3 linked regions of the Mytilus edulis genome follow. The protein of the gene in region 3 purifies or fractionates together with the protein of the main gene of each other region. This does not show direct contact. Links are inferred from orthologs where the notes say so. Each region holds a gene or a part of one and is shown on either strand. Other genes may lie near its edges.

Region 1 (7,806 bases), on a different chromosome or scaffold from region 3:
TCGTGACACCAAATCGCCTGCACTGTAGCCGTCCCGCTAGGCTATCGGGGCTTCACAATAATAAAGCTTTTGGTGGCCGTGTGTTACCTTGCCTCGTCAGTTTTAATCTAGTGTCGTACTACAGTACATGATATATAAGGCATGGAGATGTTATTGTTACATATCAGCTCAATTATCTATAGTAAAGGATCCTACAAATTAATGTAAGATACAGTCACAGAAAATAATTATATTTATAAGTACGTCTGAGTCTTTACAAATAAAACTGACTAAAATTGTTGACTTGCTGGTGACACAGGTACAGATTATGATCATGCATGCTGCAATATACAACAAATAGTCTGCTGCAGATATAAAAAAAAACAACAACACAGTTCTGCGCATTATTTCAGTGGTATTAGTAAAGTCGGCAAAAAGGGAAGTTGTCATTATTTACTTTGTTGATGCAGAGACATACATGGTAACCGAGATTATATCAATATTTCTTTACAGCCAATTACATTGAGTGTGTAGACAAAGGTAATATATTTGGTTAGCTTGTTTGCTAGCTGAACCGTGAAGTTATTATTAAGTTCGGTAAACTTCCCTCCTTTAAGAGTAGACTAGTCCGACAGATAACCAATCTATCTGTCTGTAGGACTAGGCTACTTCGAAAGAAGGGTAGTATACTTAACTTATAATGACTACGGTTCAGCTAGAAAGCAAGCTAACACCAAAGATATCACCTTTGCCTACACACTCAATGTAATAGGCTGTAATTTTAAACTGATACTACTATAACAGATACTATAAGTCTAGTATAATAGTCTCAGTACTAAATAATTGGCTTCTTGTGTCTTTATTAGTCGTTAACCATATTGCATTGAGTGGATAAACAAATACAATATTTTTACGCGATTTAGACCAGGTGTTATCTAGTTGTCCACTAGAATTATGTTTACACTGCGGCAAAATACAGTAGAAAATAGTCTTTTATCAGGGCATAATCTGGCATCTACCAGATTCTTGGTGAAATTACTCTAAATTTGTAGTTTAAAATTTTCCTCTGTTCAAAATAACTGCATGGTGATATTGAGATATATTCAAAAACTCTTTATATATCTGAATATTTTGCGGATTAATACTTTAATTATCATTTCGTCGTAACGAGTTGGGGGAAGGAATAAAAGACCTAAGAAACTAATGGATTAATTTTGTTACTTTGCATGTAGGTCTACAACTTGGTGAATGCTAAGTCCAAGCCTATGTTGGTCACCGTACGATCTTCAATAATGAACAACACCCACCCCGTTAAGTCAGCTATAAAAGACATTGACATGACAAAATACGGCAACGATATTGGAAAGAGATGATCAACGACTTATTTGTTACAAAACAATACAAACCAAACCAAACTAATATGACATCGACAGCAACCAACGGCAACCACTGAACTACAGGCTCACTGAGACCAAGAACAGGCTCATTTAGAATGTGGGCGAGGTTAGACATGTTTGTGAGAGCTCAAGCCTCTCATAAACCAGTACATTGGTGTAACAACATAAGAGCAACGCGTAAACATCAGTTGGGAATGTGTTGTATTTGATTCATTAGATTGTTGAGAATAAAATTCAGAATAAAAATGGGTAATGTGTCATGAAGACACCAATTACCCGACCAAAGAGCAGCCGACGGCCACCAATGGATCTTCAAAGCAGGGAGAAACTCCCGCCACCGGAGGCGTTTTTTGCACAAAACAGTGGCCGATCCAGAGGGGGGGTTCCGGGGGTCCGCACCCCCCTTTATTTTGGCCGATCAATGCATTTGAATCGGGACATATGTTTGCACCCCCCCTGCACCCCCCCTTTGCCCTGGGCTAGCACCCCCCCCCCCCCTTTCGAAAATTCCTGCATCCGCCACTGCAAAACATAATGATAAAAGTACTGTGTGTACTCACGAATACTGAAAGTAAATACATGTCCAAATACAACTTATATGTATAAACACATTTTGTCCCAAATAAAAAGACGTCATGCATAATCTGAAAACAGCATGACTTTATGTAACGGCAAAATGTTAAAAGGCCAAATATAAGTAAGTATAATAATATATATTTTATTGAAAGGATCAAGGAATTGTATATTTAAATATAATAATTCTTGACAGATATGTTATGTTTAATTTACTAAAAAGTTAAAAAAAAAAAAAAAAAAAACAACACCAAATATAAAATATAACAGATGAAAGTCAAACAATATAAAAAAGAAGATGTGGTATGATTACCAATGAGACAACTGTCCACAAGAGACCAAACTGACATATAGACATTAACAAATATAGGTCACCGTACGGCCTTCAACAATGAGCAAAGCCCATACCGCATAGTCAGCTATAAAAGGCCCCGATAAGACAATGTAAAACAATTCAAACGAGAAAACTAACGGCCTTATTTATATCAAAAAATGAACGAAAAACAAATATGTAACACATAAACAAACGACAACCACTGAATTACAGGCTCCTGACTTGGGACAGGCATATACATAAATAATGTGGCGGGGTTAAACATGTTAGCGGGATCCCAACCCTCCCTCTAACCTGGGACAGTGGTATAACAGTACAACATAAGAACGAACTATAAAAATCAGTTGAAAAAGGCTTAACTCATCAGATGGACAAAAATACAAGTGGACGTGGCCGGGTACTTATACATCCCGACACAAAAAGACACAATGAACAAATCTGAGAGTACTCACAGTTATCTGACAGCTAGTTCAAAGCCACTAACAACTAATTAAAAAATTATGCATCTAAGACTAAACTATCAATCCGTACACATCCAACATCCAATGGATTTAGTGTAAAGACGTCATAAACAGCCAGAGAAAAACACGACCTTGTGCAATACCAAGATACAGGTGTCAACAGATTGTAGATCCATGAATATGTCTATGTATATAACATACTAGTAATATTTAGTTAGCTTTTAATTTACTGATAACAAAGTCAATATTTAATACCGAATTATTTATACCAATAAAAACAATATTCAATGATCTTATTACAGTGTTCAATAGGTAACCTTTTAGAATAAGTTTATTTAAAGGAGCGACAAGTTTACATGGGTCATTTCTAAATTTCCGGGCACGGTTAACAACATTTTCGTAAAAATGAGGATGTGCTATCCCGTAGGAAACAAGTTTTCTACAAGTACAACCAAATACGTTGTTAAAAATCACAATCTTTAAAAAAAAAACCAAGTTTATTCAAATTAAGTATTAATGAGTTTGTGTGAGTCGTATCCAAAAGTGTTGGCTCTATGAGCAACAATACCATTAACAATAAGATGTGATATCCTATATGTGGTAAGAATTCTTAATGTACATTCAATCTTCCAAAACGAAATCTTCATATATATAATATAAAAGTATTTGTGGTAACGAAATCCCTGAATTACTCGTAACTGATTTACGACGGTTATATCAAAAGCTGTCATATTCGGAGTCCTGACTAAGTACAGAGTGAGACAAAAGTAAAACACTATGGTCTTCATTTCACGATTCGTGGATTGTGATTCAGTTTACGAAAATGTTCAAATCTCAGTATTTTCAAATTGTCGTAACCATGCACAATGTCGTAACCATGCACAATGTCGTAACCATGCACAATGTCGTAACCATGCACAATGTCGTAACCATGCACAATGTCGTAACCATGCACAATGTCGTCCCCTTTTCTCAAATGTGATCGAATGAAGTAGAATTATTTCTGGGTTTGTACTTACACTATAGCAACACGACGGGTGCCACGTGCATGTGAAGTAGGATCTACTTACCATCCCAGTGCACCTGATTTTTGTGTTGCTTATTCTTTTAGTTGTATATGTTGTGAATGTAGAAAATTGTTTGCCTTTCAGTATTTTTTATTGTATAGTTCATGACATCGGCAGTTCGTTTTCAACTTATTAGTTTGACTATCCCTTTGATATCTATTACCTCTCGGTAACTGTAAGAGGGACAGAGCTATCTCAACTTTTGTAATTATACATTTCGTAGAGATTACCTTTCAATAACTGTAAGAGGGACATAGCTTTCTCAACTTTTGCAATTATACATTTCGTAGAAAATGTCAACAGCAAGACAATCAAAGCACAATAATTTAAACATGACATAAAAAATTGCATCTTTGACTGAGATAAACTTTTAAAGGCAACATTTGCAGGGAATATTTGAATTGAAGTGAGAATTGAGAATTGAATTGAATTGAATTGAATTGAATTGAATTGAATTGAATTGAATTGATTTGAATTAGATTAGATTAAATTAAATTAAATTAAATTAAATTGCAATTTGAATTGAATTGAATTTTGAATTTCACTATTTTGTTTCAAGATGTAATTGCTACTTTTTAGCAATGAGCTACAATACTTTGTCAATATGATTGAATTTGAGGTAACTGTCATGCAAGTGAGAGGTTTAGCTAGCTATAAAACCAGGTTCAATCCACAATTTTCTACATAGAAAATTGCCTGTACCAAGTCAGAAATGTGACAGTTGTTATCGACTTGTTTGATGTCACGGTTTGGGCTTTTAATTTTGCCAATTGATTAGAGACTTTCCGTTTTGAATTTTCCTCGGAGTTCAGTATTTTTGTGTTATTACTTTTTATTACTTCCCTTGTACTATATCGAACTACTGCATTACATAGTTATTTTTAGCGTATTTTAAATCACGTGATTGAGGCGTACTCTTTGGAATAGACTATAACTTAGAGCATTCCGGAAGCGCATTTAGATCATATGGAGTCGATCAACCAATCAGATAGCTGCTTACAAAACATTTTGAGCAGCAGTTGACCTGAGAATATTGAGGCAAATACGACTCCAAATTTGACGATATTTTCATTAATTAGAAGTATATTCAAAACGTGTTCATATTGAACACTTTTGAAGACTGGGATTGCTTTATTTACAGTGTGCTAGATAGGAATTTGTGATTATCAACCACAGGTATAGACATAGGTAGGATATTTTTTTTTATGTGAGATTTCTTTCACTTACACAGAATAACATAAATTATCTGATTTATACTTGAAATATTTACTGACATACTGTTAATGAGGTGTATTCCAGAATGACTACTATGATTAGGGCAAATGCAATATAGTTTATGGCGTTTGATGAAAACGTTGTTGTGGTCGGTATTTAAATGGGGGACAATCTCAAAATGCAGAATGTTGAAGCTATTGCAAATCTCTTGTCTAACATGCTGAGTCCACAGACTTAATAATAGAATCTTGTCAATTCAGTGCTGCCTACTAGAGCAGTAAACATTTATGCCTGCCAGTCTTTCGGTCTATTCTGCCACATTATGATGTGAGCCTGAGACTACTATAACACATGTGTTATAGTAGTCTCAGTGTGAGCGCATGAAATATTTTTGAAATTTAATCAACAAAAGAATGGGTGCAATTTAATGTATATACAGGAGCAATCAAAAACATGTTATTCAAATTTAATGAGGGAGCTGAGACTTGAAAGATTCAGGACTCTGGGCGCAGACACTAGAGTTTGGCAAGGTGTTCCACTTTATGATTGTTCTAGGATAGAACAACTCCTTATGTACAGTTGTTTTACTTGATGGTATTCTAGGTGCCTTTTCGTTGTTATTTCTGGAAGCTACAGAATGTTGCACTAGCAGAATTATGAATTTTGTGTACATTGAATCATATGGTGTATGGGTTAGTTTTATGAAACATCAGTGTAAACATGGATCAAAACAATGATTAAAAATCTACATGTATTATAAGTTCAAATTTAAAACATGTAGTCCATTCAAACTAAGATTTAACCTCAAACTAATTGCAACAGAACATGTTTTAGTTCTAATCTATAGCATTATGCCCTTTATATACACAGAAAAAAGTCCCATAAAATCTAACTTGAGGAAAACTCAAAATCAGCATTTTTAAATTCCTATGGAAATTAGCATTGGGAGGGGAGATAACTCCACAAAAATGAGTCCTTTCAGTCTGCACCAAAAACTTTTGAGGGTACTGGACTAGTAGTAATTATTTTAATTTACTAGTCCTGAATAACTTCCACTAGTCTGACACCGGTGAGGGTCGCGAAGCGACCCAAACCAGCTAGGGGGGTGGGGGCATGCTCCCCATTCAAATTTTGAAATCTTAGATGCAAAATCCTGCATTTTTAGCATACCTAAAAGGGTTTAAGCTGGTTGGAAAAATTTGTCTTTAGCTAATTTTAAGGATTTTTCATTTACAAAAAATTATTAAACAAGGTAAACTTCTGACACTACTTATTTTTAGTCATGTGCACTGTCCATAAATGATAATAAAAACAATGTCAGAGTTTCCAATTAATTTATAGTTGTTTTATTCCTCATAGCCTTTTAATAATTGCTTCAGTTTTAACTTAGAAGTCCCTTTAGCAAAATTGGTTATGTTATTTTCTTTGCAGTACGTGCAAAACGTTAAAAATTCAGTTCAATTCAAAGTTTTATTGCCATATAAACATTACAGTTTGCGACATATGTTATGGGTAGTTTTATTTTATTGTGCATTTTTCATTAAAGAAATTGCAAATGTGAAGCTTTGTGACCATTTTGAAAAGATAATGTGAAAATTTGGTATTGTTTATCAGGGCTCACACTACTTCAGAATTATAGGGAGAAGTGACTTCTCTTTTTGAAACTGATAGGGAGAAGTGGTGAGATTTGAAAGAGAAGTGCTCATTCGCACGGTGCGATACAATGTTTGGATTTTACAATAGTATAAAGGGCCATATGTAAATAATGGTTCAATTCATATCTGAGTAAAAAAATTACAATTAAAGTAACATTTGAAATTAAAAGTTGTTTAAGTTTTACTAAGGTTCTTGTGAGAAACTACAAACTAAATATCTAGCACTAAAAAAAAAAAAATTATTTTAAAAAATGTAAAGAAATTATAATATATCAATTACAATTTAATTAAAAATTATCTTGTGTATGACATTCAGTGTTTCTCATAAAAAAAATATAAAATTTATTAAGCTGGGCCAGAATATATTGATATTAGTAATGAGTATAATAGTCTCAGAGTTAAGCAACTTTAATCAATAGTTTGAAACAATCCATAAAAAATATAGGGAATTATATACACCAATCAATTAGATGTTACCAAAAGTCTCTTAATGCGTGTGGAATGCGTAATTTTCCCCTTTGGGATCAATATTCTTCTGTCAGCTGTTCCATCCGTGCGTCCGTAGTAATTATTGTTAAAGTTCGGATTTCGGTCATAGCTGGTCCGGTTCAGATCCAGAGTTTAGAAATCGGTCAATGGCGGACGAATGCAAGAAAATTGACAAAAATAAACGATGTTTGACAAGTTATTTGGAAAGGAACATGACGTTTTTAATGCAATAAATGGATTAAAAATTTACTGGAGGCCACTTTTATCACGTTTAAATGAAGTAACAAACTTATGTTGCCGCCGAATTTGAGGTTGATGTACGTTTTCGAGTAACAAGCACCGGAACTTGCAGAAATGCACGAAGTGATAAAAAGTTGTATTTTTATCAAATAACCTGCTACACATTACGAAGACAATGCTTCAACCTCTTTTCTAAAGATAATGAATCGTTTATGTCTGAATTTCTTTAATTATCAATAAAAAATTGATGTTTCATCAACTTGGTAAAAATTGAAAATGTCCGATGACGGAAGCGACTGAAAGCGACTATCGTCAAGAACAGGGGGACTTGTTTTCGCTTTTGGGGGTCGGGGAAAGCGAAGTGACGGTCGGGAAGGCGACTTCTTCGCCCAAGTC
Region 2 (7,105 bases), on a different chromosome or scaffold from region 3:
AAGTACTGGTCGATGGGTCTCAGACAAAGTCATAATGATGACAGGAATCTTTATCAGGACCAAAGTGGTAAGACAGTGCAATGGTGGTCCATTATCCAACACCTATGATACAGACCAGTAGAAGTCAGTCAGCATAATATGTCCCCTGTAATGTGTGTTAAGGACAAAATGCTAATGCGATATTTATGCAAAACAACAAGTTTAAGATCATACTGTTCAGCATTGAATTGGTGTCTATCATCAATCAATAAACCCTGGAGTAAACCAACATCGTGGATAGCAGTAGTCCAAATAATTATGATGTAATGGAAGGCTATTTCAAATTTTTGCTTTGACGCTTTCCTGTGACAATGTACATGTAAGGCATCAAGAAAAAAAAAAAAATAGCCTTTAAAGACGTTGTAATTATTTGAACTAGGATAGCAGGTAAAGAGGAGCTGACCCAGTTCTGCTGTTCAGTTGTAATGACTGAGGTGCAACTGAATGCTGAATTGATAGCGATGTGGATCGACCTGATAGCTGTACATATACATGATTATGATTTGACATACAATCCAGCCTTTTTTTTTTTATCAGAGATACAAAATTTTGTAAGTGGCTGTGTTACAGTCCTACATTATATTGCTTGTATTTAACATTTATTTAAAACTGAAATAAGAATAATACCACTGCTATCGTTGTGATAACACATGCTGTAGTGTAAGCCCGAGTAACGGGCGGCATTTGCATGTATTCTTGCTGAAATGTTTGTGCCATGGCTGTGTAGTGCAATGTTTACACCGGATGTTGAAGAATCCACGTAGAATAAGATAAAAGTAAAAAGTAAAAGATATCAACACAAATTTTAAAATATTCCTCTTGTAATTTCTTCCGAAACTATATCATTTTTGTTTTCTATTTAGTTAAGTATACAAATTTTATATCTGATTCGTTGATTTTACGATAGGATCTTTTTTCAAAAAATAAAATTGTTATCTGCAGATTTTACTTACACCGGAAGTGAAATAAATGGTACGCACTGAAACCCGGACCGGACCGGACTCCGGACCCGGACTTTGGTATGAAACCCGGACCCGGACCCGGACTGGCCACCGGACCCGGACTGAATGCCGGACCCGGACTGTGGGTTTTTTACCACTTTGATTTTTTTTAAGATTACTGTCATATAAATTATTAGTTACAGTATATAAAAATTAAAAAAAAAATCCACATTCCGAGCGCAAAATTGAACAAAAAAGAGTAAAGTAAAGTAAGGAAGAAATATATAATAATTCCTTTGTCGTTATTGTTTTATTGAAATTAATAAAATCTTTTTTATTATCAATGAAAGCAAATTAAATTCTTTTCATAGGAAGAGTAAAGCGCAATAGTTTGATACATTCGAGGGTTATATTTTTTTTGTATTGTTTTCTTCTTCTAGACATTAAGGGAAAAATAGAATTCCTGCTTTTCTAAAACATTGTTTTGGCAGTCTTAATTAATCACTTTTAATATTAGTTTCCTCTTATGAGAACACCAATTACGCGTTGTTATGTCACTGTGTAATGAAAGTCTCGTGTTTTATTGGGTGTTTGACATTTGCGCCGATTTTTAAAAGTTTCGATCTTTCATTTGCGCCGATTGTGCACAGGTTAATTGCAGGTGAATGTCACATTGATTCTATTCATCAATATAAACCTCTTTCGTTACCCAATTGTACATATGTTATGAATTGTCAACTAGTATCATTAAGAATTCCTATGATCTCTTATTGTAATTCCGAATTCTTATGATATCTTATTGTTCCTCCGAACTCTTATGATATCTTATTGTTTCTCAGAATTCTTATGACTTTTTATTGTTCTTCCGAATTCTTATGCCTTTTGATTTTTCCTCCGAATTCTTATGATCTCTTGTTGTTCCTCAGAAGCCTTATGACTTTTTATTGTTCCTCCGAGTTATTTTAATCTCTATTAAGACTTATATGGTTTCTCCGAATTCTGTTTCTCTAAATTCTTCTCTAATACTGTTCCTCAGATTGAATTATTGACAAAGGTTTACACTCGCTTTAGGATATTGGTTTAATTGAAAGAAAAAGGAAAAAGAAGACACAATTAACCAGGAATTACTTACAAAATACATTAAGGCTATTGGTAATTCAGTGTTTAAATAACCAAAGTAAAAACTATGATGGATTGCTTTTTTGTACTAGCTGTGATCAGTAACTGCGAGTATTCTCATATCTGTAGTTGGTGTCGTACGGTCACCTATAGTTGTAAATGTCTGTGTCATTTGGTCTTCTTTGTCAGCTGTCTCATTGGCAATCACATCACATCACATCATTCTTATTATTATATCAACATTGCAAATAACGCGTCACTTGTCGATAACATGGTATTTATAAATAAAATAATAAAAAAAAAGATTTACTTTCTTATTTGATTGTCATCACAAAGTCTATTAAAATAATTCAACAATCCAATGTTTCACGATAAAGGTGTCAAAGACTACACTATCAATCATAATCAAGCATGTATAGAAGTCAGATTTAAAGGGGCATTAGCTCCGAGATTTAATGAAATGATAAATAAAAATGTTCAATATAGTGAAATAATTTTATTTTAGCAGCCATTGTCAAAATAAACTAATATACATCGCTTATGAATTATTCACTCGTAATCTCCGTATCAATAGTATTCCTTTGGTAAGAAATACAGAAATAATCTTGTGTTACACGTTAACCGGGATATTTTTTACCCCAAGATGGTACTCTGAATAAAATCTTCTGCGGCTCCTGATTGGATGATACAAAGTTGGAATTGCTCCAATAAAATTTAAGCAGCGATCGATCATCCATGTAATACACATTCTTGAACAGGTGAGTCCGGACTGTGACCTGACATGACCCCGGACTAGCTTGAAGTTTACTATACCTGCGTGTATTGCATTACGACGACTAACTGTATGTAAACTGTTTATTGTCGTAAAGTATATTGACGGGACATTTGATCAAGCATGTAATACATAAGAAATTTATAAGATATTTATCCGACATTTAACGAATAATATAAATGTAATAGGCGAGTCCGGATGGTGACCTGAAGTAACCCCGGACTAGGTGTATTCGCAAACTGTAGACATCGATAGAGATATAAAAACTTCACAAATGATTTGATGAGACGAACTTATTCATTTTTATTCATTCAACTTTTTCCTTATTGGATTGTCGTCGGAAACATTAATAAAAGACGTGTACCCGAGAATCAACAAATTAAAATTAGACGAGTCCGGACTCTGATCTGATATAACCACGGACCAGGAGTGTACGGATTGTATATAAATATACTAAATTATTTGTTTAATTGAAAGATTTTTTCCCCCTTTTTACTTTTTACTTTTCCTTTATTCATTTCTCTATTTCTTTAGTTATTCGATTGTCATCGGAAAAATCAATAAACGACACTTAAGCGGCGTTCAACAATGTAATACACATTCTTGAACAGGTGAGTCCGGACTGTGACCTGACATGACCCCGGACTAGCTTGAAGTTTACTATTCCTGCGTGTATTGCATTACGACGACTAACTGTGTGTAAACTGTTTATTGTCGTAAAGTATATTGACGGGACATTTGATCAAGCATGTAATACATAAGAAATTTATAAGATATTTATCCGACATTTAACGAAAAATATAAATGTAATAGGCGAGTCCGGATGGTGACCTGAAGTAAACCCGGACTAGATGTATTCGCAAACTATAGACATCGATAGAGATATAAAAACTTCACAAATGATTTGATGAGACGAACTTATTCATTTTTTTTCATTCAACTTTTTCCTTATTGGATTGTCGTCGGAAACATTAATAAAAGACGTGTACCCGAGAATCCACAAATTTGATTATCTTATTATTATAATGTACTGTGTTACAGTTCTCAAAAAATTATCTTCCTTCTCCTGATTAAAAAAAGAAAAAGGTGATTCTAAGAAAATTCAGAATTATTACCCAGTCCGGGTCCGGCATTTAGTCCGGGTCCGGCGTCCGGTCCGGGTCCGGGTTTCATACCAAAGTCCGGGTCCGGAGTCCGGTCCGGTCCGGGTTTCAGTACGTACCGAAATAAATCAACAAACCATGGCCTCGTACGCTTCTTCACGGGACGAAAACAATTCAGATTTTGAAGAGGTTGACAGCTTTGACTGTGATGAACTGGATGCACAAGCAACTGACGAAGGTAAATATTCAATCTGCTTAATATTTTATTATTCTTTGTGTGGATGCAAAAGATGTTTAGTTTTAAAAATTTTAGTGCTTCATATATATGTTTTGGTATTTTGCAAGATACATGTATTATCTATTTGCTTAGAGTTAATTTTTGGTGCTGCTTCTTATTATTTATTGCATGCTGCATGTCTTGTTTTATTTGTTATTGCATATGTTTTTATATTCGGTGAAAAGCTCATTAGAGCTTATGTTTGTATTGTTTGTCAATATGCCGAATCCAAATAAAGTTTTACTTACTTACTTACTTACTCAACCCTGCACCTGACAAAGGTACTTTTATAAGCATTGTGGCTTTGTGCTGTTATAGTTTATGCTGTGACTTTTATCTCGTTATTGCAATGCATTTTAGAAGTCATATACCAACTAAACTCAGTGGCAATATTAGTTTTCTTTTTGGTTTGCATTCTACAGTTCTAGACCTTCCTATGGATAGAAACAAGTGCCTGTGGTTTCGGCCATGAATCACTTAGGTATATATGTAATTCAAGGAATTGTGTTAAAATATTTAATAATTTAGGTCACCCTTATAATAAGAAGATAAGTGTATTATATTTTAAGCTCCGACAGCATCAATCGTTGATTAGATGGTCACACAGTGTTCTCCCCAGGATTTTTGGATAGCGCTGTGGTAAGCGCGTAATTTTCGACAATTCTCAGTAACTTTATTGCGGCGTGCGTTTTGTTTGTAATTGATTTGATGTGTTTTTATTATATTATGCTATTGATGTTTTCTCTTGTAATGATGTCCTCATCATGCTCATGATAGTTACAAAATGTACAATGTACCCCTTTGTTTGTTAATGTTTTTGTCTGGATACACATGATATAGAAGAAGAGTCTTTTTTTCCTCCATAGTAAATTCATATATTAAATCCTCATACTATCAGTGTATAAAACTGAAGGATAAGTCTTTTTCCATGATGGGTCTACACCAGACTACCGTGACTACCTATGTGAAGATTTCTTAGCACTAACAGGTAATGTTGCAGAACATGTAGGACCAACAATAAAGTCAATGTCAGCTTCTGTTTGGTTTTGTAACCCACTGTAGCAGTGTACAGTTTACCTTACGACGTTTGACAGGAATTGACATTTTTTTAGCATAAAGATTTCTCATTTGTCTGACCTTAAAGTTTTATAATATTTAAATGGCCTCATCCAAGCTGAACATTGAGAAAGTGAAATTTCTCAAGTCGTATCAGCTTGGGGTTTGTTTTTCTAATCATATCCTCTCAATTGTTTTCAAATGGTAGAATTTCTGACTAAACAATTATAAGTTTGAATAGGTGATAATTAATACTTCAAAGACTTGCTCATTTTCGGGGTTCGTATGGATAGTAAACCCGGCAAATAATTTGTAACAAACCCCGGTGTTTGATCGTTTTTAAAATCATCGTTTGTTCAAAGTTCGTAAAACAAGTTTGTGAGTGTCGTCGGGAAATGCGATCAATTCATTTCATCTCATTTCATTCATATATGCCTCTATCATGTGTCTATATATTCTTTTAATTGAAAACATAGATGTCAATGTCGAAATCTTTGTTTATTTTGATCTTTCAAAGATGCCATTTTTATTAGACTGGTCCCGCGGAGTTACTTTAATACAACAGAAATAATTCATTCAAAAATCGTAAACCAGTCAATCACGTGATCCGAAGAGTAAAATAAGCGGGAAATTTGAAAAAATGCGAAAAAAAATATAGCGAGGCGGTTGAGTGGGATAGCGCTGCGGTAAGTGCAATAGGACAGCGGGAAATTTAAATAGCGCTGAAAATCGCAGCGCTAAAACGGCCTGGGGAGAACACTGTCACAAATTAAGTTTACTGGCGACACATTAGCGGAGACAGTAAACAGGTAAACGGGTATTTTCGACCATCAAATCACCAATTGATGCTGTCAGAAATTAAAATGCAATATTGTTATCTCCATTTTAATAAAACTGACATAAAAAACGTTAAAACATGTATTTAAAATCTGTTATATTGCATGTATATCGTCTGCACATGCGTGTATGTTCCATAGCATCAATTGTCAATTGATCATTTTGATGCCATGAAAATAAGTTACGTTATCCAATCTAAATGGACTTTACATGGGTTGTTGCATTAGATTTTGAATTTCATTCACTTCGGTATACATCTCAGGTCAGGTCATTCATTACCTGGTATAGGTTGGCACCTACTCAAATTGGGACTTGGTTAATTCAGGATTAAGGCTGGCACCAGAGGTAGTTATTAAGGCACCTATGTCTACATGGTCTATCATTAACATTATGTTTTGTTAGTCAACTTTTGAAGTCTCCACTATTTGTATATTCTTGGTTTAATATTTTCACAAATTAATCAACATATATTTGGTAGGAATCATAGAAGTTCCAACAAAAACTTTGTTCTAAACAATGTGTACAGTAATTCCTACTTTATTTCAACTGCACATAACATGCATAAGTCATTGCTAGTAAACATGTTGCTAGCTGTCATTATACAGAAACGACAGTGGTTAAGCAGAAAAAACAATTTAAATAACAATGATTTGTTTTCATCCTTATCTGTGGATTAAAAAAAAACTTGTATAATGACTTCTTAGTTTTTTTTTTATTATAAACATCAAAAACTACCTGTGGGTTACATTAAATACAAGTTTATAATTAATATAAAAATAACTAATGCCACTGAAATTAACAACTATAGGTCCAGTCTGCATGGTTAGCCACTAGTCTGATGCCCCATACTAGTAAAATTTTATTCAGACTAGTAAGTTTTTGCAAAACTTTGTTTGGACTAATAAGAAAAATGTCAAAATATTGGTCTTCGGACTAGTAGTTGAAAAAGTTTTGGTGCAGA
Region 3 (7,760 bases):
GATCTGTACCCCCTTAAGAGTGATAATTTTAAAACATTTTCAAACTTAAATTGCATTACATCAACATGCAAATTCAGAGAGTCCATGCAATGGGCTGTTCCATGAACAACAACATTTGATGGAAATACACTTATAAATCTGAACTTTGGTCGGCTGTCAAAGGAGAAACAGTCCTAATGAAATACTGATCAATTATCAAATTATTATAAAACATGCAATCTTAAATGTTAAGTCAGCTGGAATACAAGTCCCCTAGATAATTTATGTATATTGTTATTTGGAAAAGCTGAAATCTTTTTTGTAAATATTCTTGTACACTGTTTTGCAAGTACTTTACTATTCATCATGAACTATTGTTACAACACTTACAAATCAATAAGCTTTTTATTCTGTGCCTTGCATTCCTGTAGTATATCATTTTCATCCATTAATTCTTGAAGGGTGACATCCTGTAAAATAAACCATCATTCTCCTGACTTCAAATATCGAAATCAAACAGTCAAAACACACCTACACTAGTGTATACAAAGGGGTATGTAAATAAAAGTTGCATATTGGTAGAGTACAAACAAGAATGTGTCCATAGTACACAGATGCCCCACTCTCACTATCATTTTCTCTGTTTAGTGAACCGTGAAATTGGGGCAAAAAATCTAATTTGGCATTTAAATTAGAAAGATCATATCATAGGGAACATGTTCACTAAGTTTTAAGTTGATTGGACTTCAACTTCATCAAAAACTACCATGACCAAAAACTTTAACCTGAAGCAGGACATACGGAGGGACAAACAAACAAATTGACTAACAGACCCACAGACCAGAAAACATATTAAATGCCCCTCTACTATCGTAGGTTGGGGTATAAAAATAAAGAATCAATGATGTACAGTGGAGTCCCCAGTGTCTACGTGGCCGGTGATATGCAAATAAAATCTTTCTATAAATTAATTGCTTTAGTATTCCGAATGGACAGAAAAGATTAAAATTGATCATTTCAAGAGTAAATTTTAAATTACCATCCAATGATTAATCACATTTAGCCAATTTCCATTGCCAAATTATATTTTCAGATAAAGTTGGTTTCATTAAAGTCAAAATTAAATCAAATAGATCTAAATTTTGCTCTGCATTCTTGGCATTCTGTTTGGTTCAAATTCAACTACATTTCGTACTTTAAAATCTTTCCTTAATTCAAATAACCCATTTTCATAAGACTATTAATGCAAGCGAAAAATCACCAGAAGAACTCTAAAAACAGTGGTTTCCCTAATTTTGGACACACATTACACAAGAGCTTAAGGGTGAAACCATACATGCAGAAAATTTTATGAAATAAGTTAGTGATGAATTTGTTCACATAATATTATATTATCTTATTATTAGTTTTATCATTAAATAAAGTGAAGTCATAAGACTTTATGTGCGCGGATACACAGAACTGCACCATAATGTTTTCTAAAAATTTACAATATTGATTGAGACTTACCTCCTTTCCAAGCAAGGTATCAATCTTTGAAGTTGTGATAAGATTAAACTTCCAAAACATCTTGTTATCTGGAAAAGAAAGATTCAGTTAAGATTCTGATATGTTATATAGTTATGGCTGATACAACTACAAGCTATAATTCAAAGTTCAAAATTAACAAGAATGTGTCCAAAGTACATGGATGCCCAACTCACACTATCAATTTCCATGTTCAGTGGACCGTGAAATTGAGGTCAAAAGTCTAATTTGGCTTTTAAATAAGGCCATATCATAAGCAACAAGTGTACTAAGTTTCAAGTTGATTGGACTTCAGCTTCAACAAAAACTACCTTGACCAAAACTTTAACCTGAAACAGGACAGACGAACGAACAGACGAACAGAAGGATGCACAGACAAACAGACGGTCACAGACCAGAAAACATAATGCCCCTCTACTATAGTAGGTGGGGCATAAAAATAAAAAATAAAGGAACTTTATAACTTCAGTAGTCATATCTCCTTATTTTTATATGTCAGTAACATACCCACAAATGTGTTTATCATCAGATGGAGAACGAATTGTGGACAGATGGCTACTTATGAAATTTTTCTGGATTGATATAAATTTGATTTGATTTTTTGGTGTTTTAACTCCACTTATAAGCACCGTATTTAGGCTATTTTGTGGCAGCCAGTTTTTATATTTTTTTTAAAAATAATCGTTATATGCTTTAGCTTATAGAAAGTGCCATATTTTTTTTTAATTTATAGGATTCTGGCCTGTAGATTCAAGTTCATCATGAAGACTAAATAGCACCAAGGTGCATGTTTCACACCACTCCGCCATGAAAATCACTTTAAATGGTTTAAAAATAATAATTTCTGAGTACTAAAACTTTAATCAGAAAACAAAGGCCAAATGATTTGAAAAACTACCAAACATTGATATATCAAAACACAATGACTCTTTTTGTCTATATGAACCAGTCTATCAATTGGACCAGCTGAAAAGTGAAATGTATTATAATAAAAATGATTTCATTTTGGCAATTAGAACTGAAACGTCATACAGTTTAAGGGACTTGTAAGTACATCTAGGTTGTTCAAATACTGTCTTTACCACTGACATACAACATCACAGGCGATCTATATCATCTACATTGCACAATGACCCATCAGCACATCATACCTGTCAACCTCTGGAAATGAAAAGTCAGGTCATGACCTGCATTGAGAAAAAAAATCTCAGGTCATAACGCGTACGACATTTTGCGGGCTCAATTGAAGAACAAAAATATGTTTATATATAATTATATAGTCAATATGTATATGAAACAGTTAGAACATGTATACAAGTTTATTTCAGACTATTGTTATATTCCATAGTAGCAGACTTGGCATTCTTTAAAAGAACTGCACTTGGTTTCAGTTCATAGCAATGCAAATATGTATTCATTTTACAAGAAAGAAGAGCACACAGTGTATCCTTATTAAGATCAGCCCTAAACTCTGTAGCTATTTTCTTTACTAAAGAAAATGCCCTCTCACTGTCTGCATTGCTGTTTGGCAAAACCAGTAATGTTTTAGCAAGTTTTGACAAAACAAAAAATCTTGGCTTGTTTTCAACTACCACTTTGTTATTTTCAACTGAAAGGGCCCTCTTTACTATTTGGGTGGTTTTAGTTTTTCAACAGGAATAACCTGAAGCTATTTCACTGTCAGAGAACATTAATTTACACGGTACGTAGCTCAGGTAAACAGTCCTACATTTTGACTTTTGGTTACATTGAAAAAGACCGATAAAACCGAAGGTCGTATTACTTCTAAATACCGGAAACAATTCCGGTCAGAAATCCGGGTGAAACGGGTAATGTTAGAAATTCCCGGGACCCGCCGGGTAAAGAAAAACTCCCGGGTGAGAGGTGAAAATAACGGGTGTCACCCGCAAAAAACGGGTGAGTTGACAGGTATGGCACATTGCCTATAACATTGTTCAAGTTTGATTTCTGTAAGCGGTTATTAATAAATTTGAATTTCTGTATTAAAAATGAAAAATTTATGTTTCATCTACTTGGTAAAAATAAAAATTGTCAAAGAAAGTGAGTATGGTGACCAACAGGGCGATTTCGTTTTCGATGGTAGGGCACAACAAAGTGATGAACACAAAAGCTATATTGTCCCCCCAGTTGCCTGCTAGCGTAAGCCCTAGGTACATCATTACATTACTGCTATTTGTCCGCCATAACTGGATATCACACAGGTTCCCGTAAAAATTTTGACCGTCATAAAAACAAAATAAGTGACGCCACAATGGAAAAGAGATTGTTGTTGACGTCAAAAGTTCAAGCAGCTGACCTGGGATTAGCAATAAGGTGTATACACCTTATCGCTATTTGTCCGCCATTACTGGATATTACACAGGTTCCCGTAAAAATTTGACATCACAAAACAAAATATCTGACGCCACAATGGAAAAGTGATTGTTGAATGCGTCAAAAGTTCAAGCAGCCGGGTCAGCCGGGATTAGCGATAAGGTGTATAGGCTATAGCCATGTTTTCACATTCCAAACATTCAAAACCATGTTTTGCCCTCAAAATATTTTGACTAGATTCTGCAGACAGCTTGAAATAAAACATGCTATTTTGCACAGATTTCAGTATTTGTGTCTTATTATCACGACAGGACATAATTGAAGGCATTGTATACCCACAGTGGTCACAGACTCATGACACTGCTAAAACCTATGGGAATTGAAAGTACTGTACGCAAACACGCTCGACAGTGAAATTAGCAATATTTACGTGGACTTAGCATGAAGTAAGAGTGTTAGCTATATAACGATAAAGCATAAATTTGTTTATTAACCTTTGGAGAAGACTGTGGTTTATTTTATCAAATGTAAACACGGAGAAACTTCTTCAATATCAAATGTACTCCACGGGTTTCTTGGTTCATTTCCAATTTTTCATGTTGAGGGATTCATGACATCAAATGCAATTAGTTAAATATGATTCTATGGGTTGGGTTTTGCAATAATTAATAGTCAGATCATTGAATAACCAATAAATATATGATATTTATCATGTCAGGCGGGAACGAGTACTTCTCAAAATGGCGACGCTGAATATCCCATAATCAATTTTCTGCGTTCTCACGAGAAATTTGTATGATTTTTATTTTTTATTCTATTACCACAAAATGAAATTTTATTAATAATTAAATAGCAAAATTATACTTTAAATGATTTAGTTTTTTTATTATCAAGCACCTGCGCTGTTGTCATAATAAATTTGAATACGCATGCGCGTTCATTGATGTTCCACTTCAGGCGATCATCTGAAAAATCTGTAGTTTACAAACGGACAGAAAAAGTCTTTCAGCTCTGAAAAAAATTATTCCGGTAAGAATTTTTGAGTTAAACTTTGTTTAATAGACATTTATTTATAATTTTCGTTGAAAATTGTGAGCTGTTACATTCTCTATTTTTCAAAAAACGTTATTACATGACCAATGGCATATCACTTGTTACCGGTGTGTAAGGAGCGGTTTCTCAATTTTTACATTTTTTAAGAAAAAACTAACTGTGACAGTTGTCAAATTTGAAAGTTTATGATTTGTTTTATATTAAGGATTAATTTTAAGATTTAATTTTTATTTCCTGTTTTGAAATTAAAGATTTTTGGTGAAAAACTGTGCACATGTATGTACACGATGAACTTGATCTGGGCGATCTGGGCCTGCGCCAATCATAAATTCCTTTGTTCCAAAATAGGAAAACGCTGTGAAGCGTAACCTTGTCCAAACGGTCATTGACACAATTACCCAGAGCGGCCTATTGATTGGTGGTATGTCGATTTATCATATATGTAGAAAGCGGACGTTCACCATAATCAGAATAACCATTGATTAGGCAAAAGAAAATATGTTATAAAATAGGAATTGAAGGAATTTATTGATTTGTGAGAATGACATTTATATTGATAAAACACTAATAGTAAATTTAAGTACAAAGGGGTTAAGTGGAGTGAACTATTATATAATAAAAGGACTTTTTAATTTATGTTCATCAGTATAGGACAAGGATTTGTATAACATTATCAAGAAATTACTATACAAATCCTTGTTAAAGATTTTTTTTTTTTAATCACAATCAGTAAATAATATAATTTGTAACATATACATACATTTATAAGAATAGTTGAGATAAATTAAAACGTAAGTTTATTTTTGAATTACAGAGGGCTGTATTTTATATGTTTGGGATACATTTGGTGATTTTAAAGATATATTACACTTATCAAGTTATGTGAACTGTCAGGCTGAATAGTACAGTTTGTCTGATTACTGTGGCAATCATAACATCCTTATTTTTATATTTATTAATGAAAGTTATGTTTTTTTCAGATTTAAAAATAACGAATACATATACAAGGAAAGATGTTCAGTTTTCATAAACCCAAGATTTATAGGAGCAATAACGGCTGTTGTATATGCCGAGCAAAATCATCAAGTTCTCGCTTTACTGACAGCAAGCGATATGAATGTGACTTTGAAAATTGCTTTAGAATTAAAGAAAGACGTGCTGGTGAAATATGTAATGCATGTGTACTTTTGGTGAAAAGGTGGAAAAAGCTCCCCTCTGGAACTAACAGACATTGGCATCATGTAAGTTTATATTTTTGACTTTTAATTAGATAAAACAAATTGATTTTAGAGAGATTAAAATTAGGGCAGTATCTGCAAGCTATTGATTTTTCAAAAAAATAGTTTATATCAGAATAGTGATTATTTTAATATTGGATAGCTAATTTTTGCGCTGTGTAAATATTTGTCATAGTTTAAATTCCATAGATTACACACAGGGACTGATCAATGTGTGTGTCAGAAGTAGGTCATGTTACCTGACATAGTATGTACTCTCAAGACAGGTCTTAATACATATGTATTGACCTTCAGTATCTCAATGATTGATCTTGTGGTGTACCAGAAAAGATGGGTTATCCAAAAATAGATATTTTATAAAATTTATAAAGTAAAGAAAAAAATGTTAAAAAAACCAAGGTACAAGATATATTTGAAATAAAGTTACCTGGGGCAGTGATTGAATAATTAATTTGAAAAAAAATACCATATTATTAAGTTGTGAAATGTGTGTAATTTTTCAAAAGGGGGATCAGATATAATTGTTTTCATAGTGTTAGATAATATCTGAAACCAATTATCATCAATTTTCTGATGACATATATCAGATATTTGTAAGATGGGGACATTTTCCTTTATAACTACTGACAATATTTGTGTTATTTATTACCCTCTAGAGGGTATAAAGATTCCTCAAAAAACATGTTGACATGCAGTGAATGTTAGCTATAGAAGTTAGACAGGCTCATCCTGTTAATCAACTCTGTGTAATCAATGTCATAAAATGAAATCTGATTATGTTAATAGGTCAAGTCTGTGTTACTTCCTTATATGTAATGAGGCTGTAACTAAAATTTGAGCTAGACGGATTTAATTTCTAATATAAATAAAAAATATATACAATGTTTGTTTAATTGATACCTAGACTTATTTGGAACTAATACATACATAATTATTTATTGCCAGCATTGGTCCAAGTTCTTATGTAATATTACATTATTAAGCATTCCTATAGAAAGGTCATATATAAATAATTACACAAGTTAAATTGAAATTAGTTTTACTTGTAATATTTCTTTCTTGGGGCTTACAAAAAAAAAACTTACAATTGAGGAACCATTAAAGTTAAATGACAATATTTCTCTGTTCCCCTATCAGGTTTATTAGAGAAATAAACACTTGCTTTCCCACCATAATATTGAACTTTGTATGAAGGCTAAACAAGCACCTGCCTGTTTAAGTGTAGTGTCCTTATAAAATATGTGCATTTTAATCTGAGTTTTAAAGTATTAAACTAGGTCATTGACTGCTTTAAACCGTCTACTGCACTCTGAAAATTTAAAGAATAGGAGGTTGACTATATTATCAAATATCTTTCTATGAGAAACTGTGTGTAATCCAAGGTCTATATATTTTTTTTGTTCATGTAATAGTTAGCTCATTTTTAGACAACATTATGTTTTTTTAGTGTTTTTGAAAAAAAAACCTGTTTAAAATCAATAAAGAACTCAACTAGATTCAGACAGACTCATTTTCTCAAACTGTCATGGCTTTTGTCACATATATAGTATGAAAACTCATCTGAAGCATGTATACAATATTTTGATAATTTGAATTACTATTTTCATTTATATGTTGTTTTAATATTAT

The links.
Region 1: the proteins of SIN3-HDAC complex-associated factor-like (region 3) and histone deacetylase complex subunit SAP130-like purify together in Homo sapiens (affinity purification with mass spectrometry; 3 studies listed by BioGRID and IntAct, counting the BioPlex papers as one, with this or other methods). This does not show direct contact. The link is inferred for Mytilus edulis from reciprocal best matches to the Homo sapiens genes SINHCAF and SAP130.
Region 2: the proteins of SIN3-HDAC complex-associated factor-like (region 3) and sin3 histone deacetylase corepressor complex component SDS3-like purify together in Homo sapiens (affinity purification with mass spectrometry; 3 studies listed by BioGRID and IntAct, counting the BioPlex papers as one, with this or other methods). This does not show direct contact. The link is inferred for Mytilus edulis from reciprocal best matches to the Homo sapiens genes SINHCAF and SUDS3.

The regions. Positions count from the first base shown.
Region 1 is NC_092346.1:104,014,679-104,022,484, forward strand, and holds the start of histone deacetylase complex subunit SAP130-like, read left to right. Parts: upstream 1-4,801; 5' UTR 4,802-4,999; intron 5,000-7,806. UniProt on the Homo sapiens protein: Acts as a transcriptional repressor. May function in the assembly and/or enzymatic activity of the mSin3A corepressor complex or in mediating interactions between the complex and other regulatory complexes.
Region 2 is NC_092349.1:14,510,772-14,517,876, forward strand, and holds the start of sin3 histone deacetylase corepressor complex component SDS3-like, read left to right. Parts: upstream 1-4,100; 5' UTR 4,101-4,112; coding exon 4,113-4,212; intron 4,213-7,105. Other genes in the region: derlin-2-like, read right to left, coding at 667-756.
Region 3 is NC_092353.1:70,783,563-70,791,322, reverse strand, and holds the start of SIN3-HDAC complex-associated factor-like, read left to right. Parts: upstream 1-4,750; 5' UTR 4,751-4,869; intron 4,870-5,225; exon of another isoform or gene 5,226-5,314; intron 5,315-5,873; 5' UTR 5,874-5,906; coding exon 5,907-6,134; intron 6,135-7,760. Other genes in the region: serine/threonine-protein phosphatase 6 regulatory subunit 3-like, read right to left, coding at 370-449, 1,489-1,548. UniProt on the Homo sapiens protein: Subunit of the Sin3 deacetylase complex (Sin3/HDAC), this subunit is important for the repression of genes encoding components of the TGF-beta signaling pathway.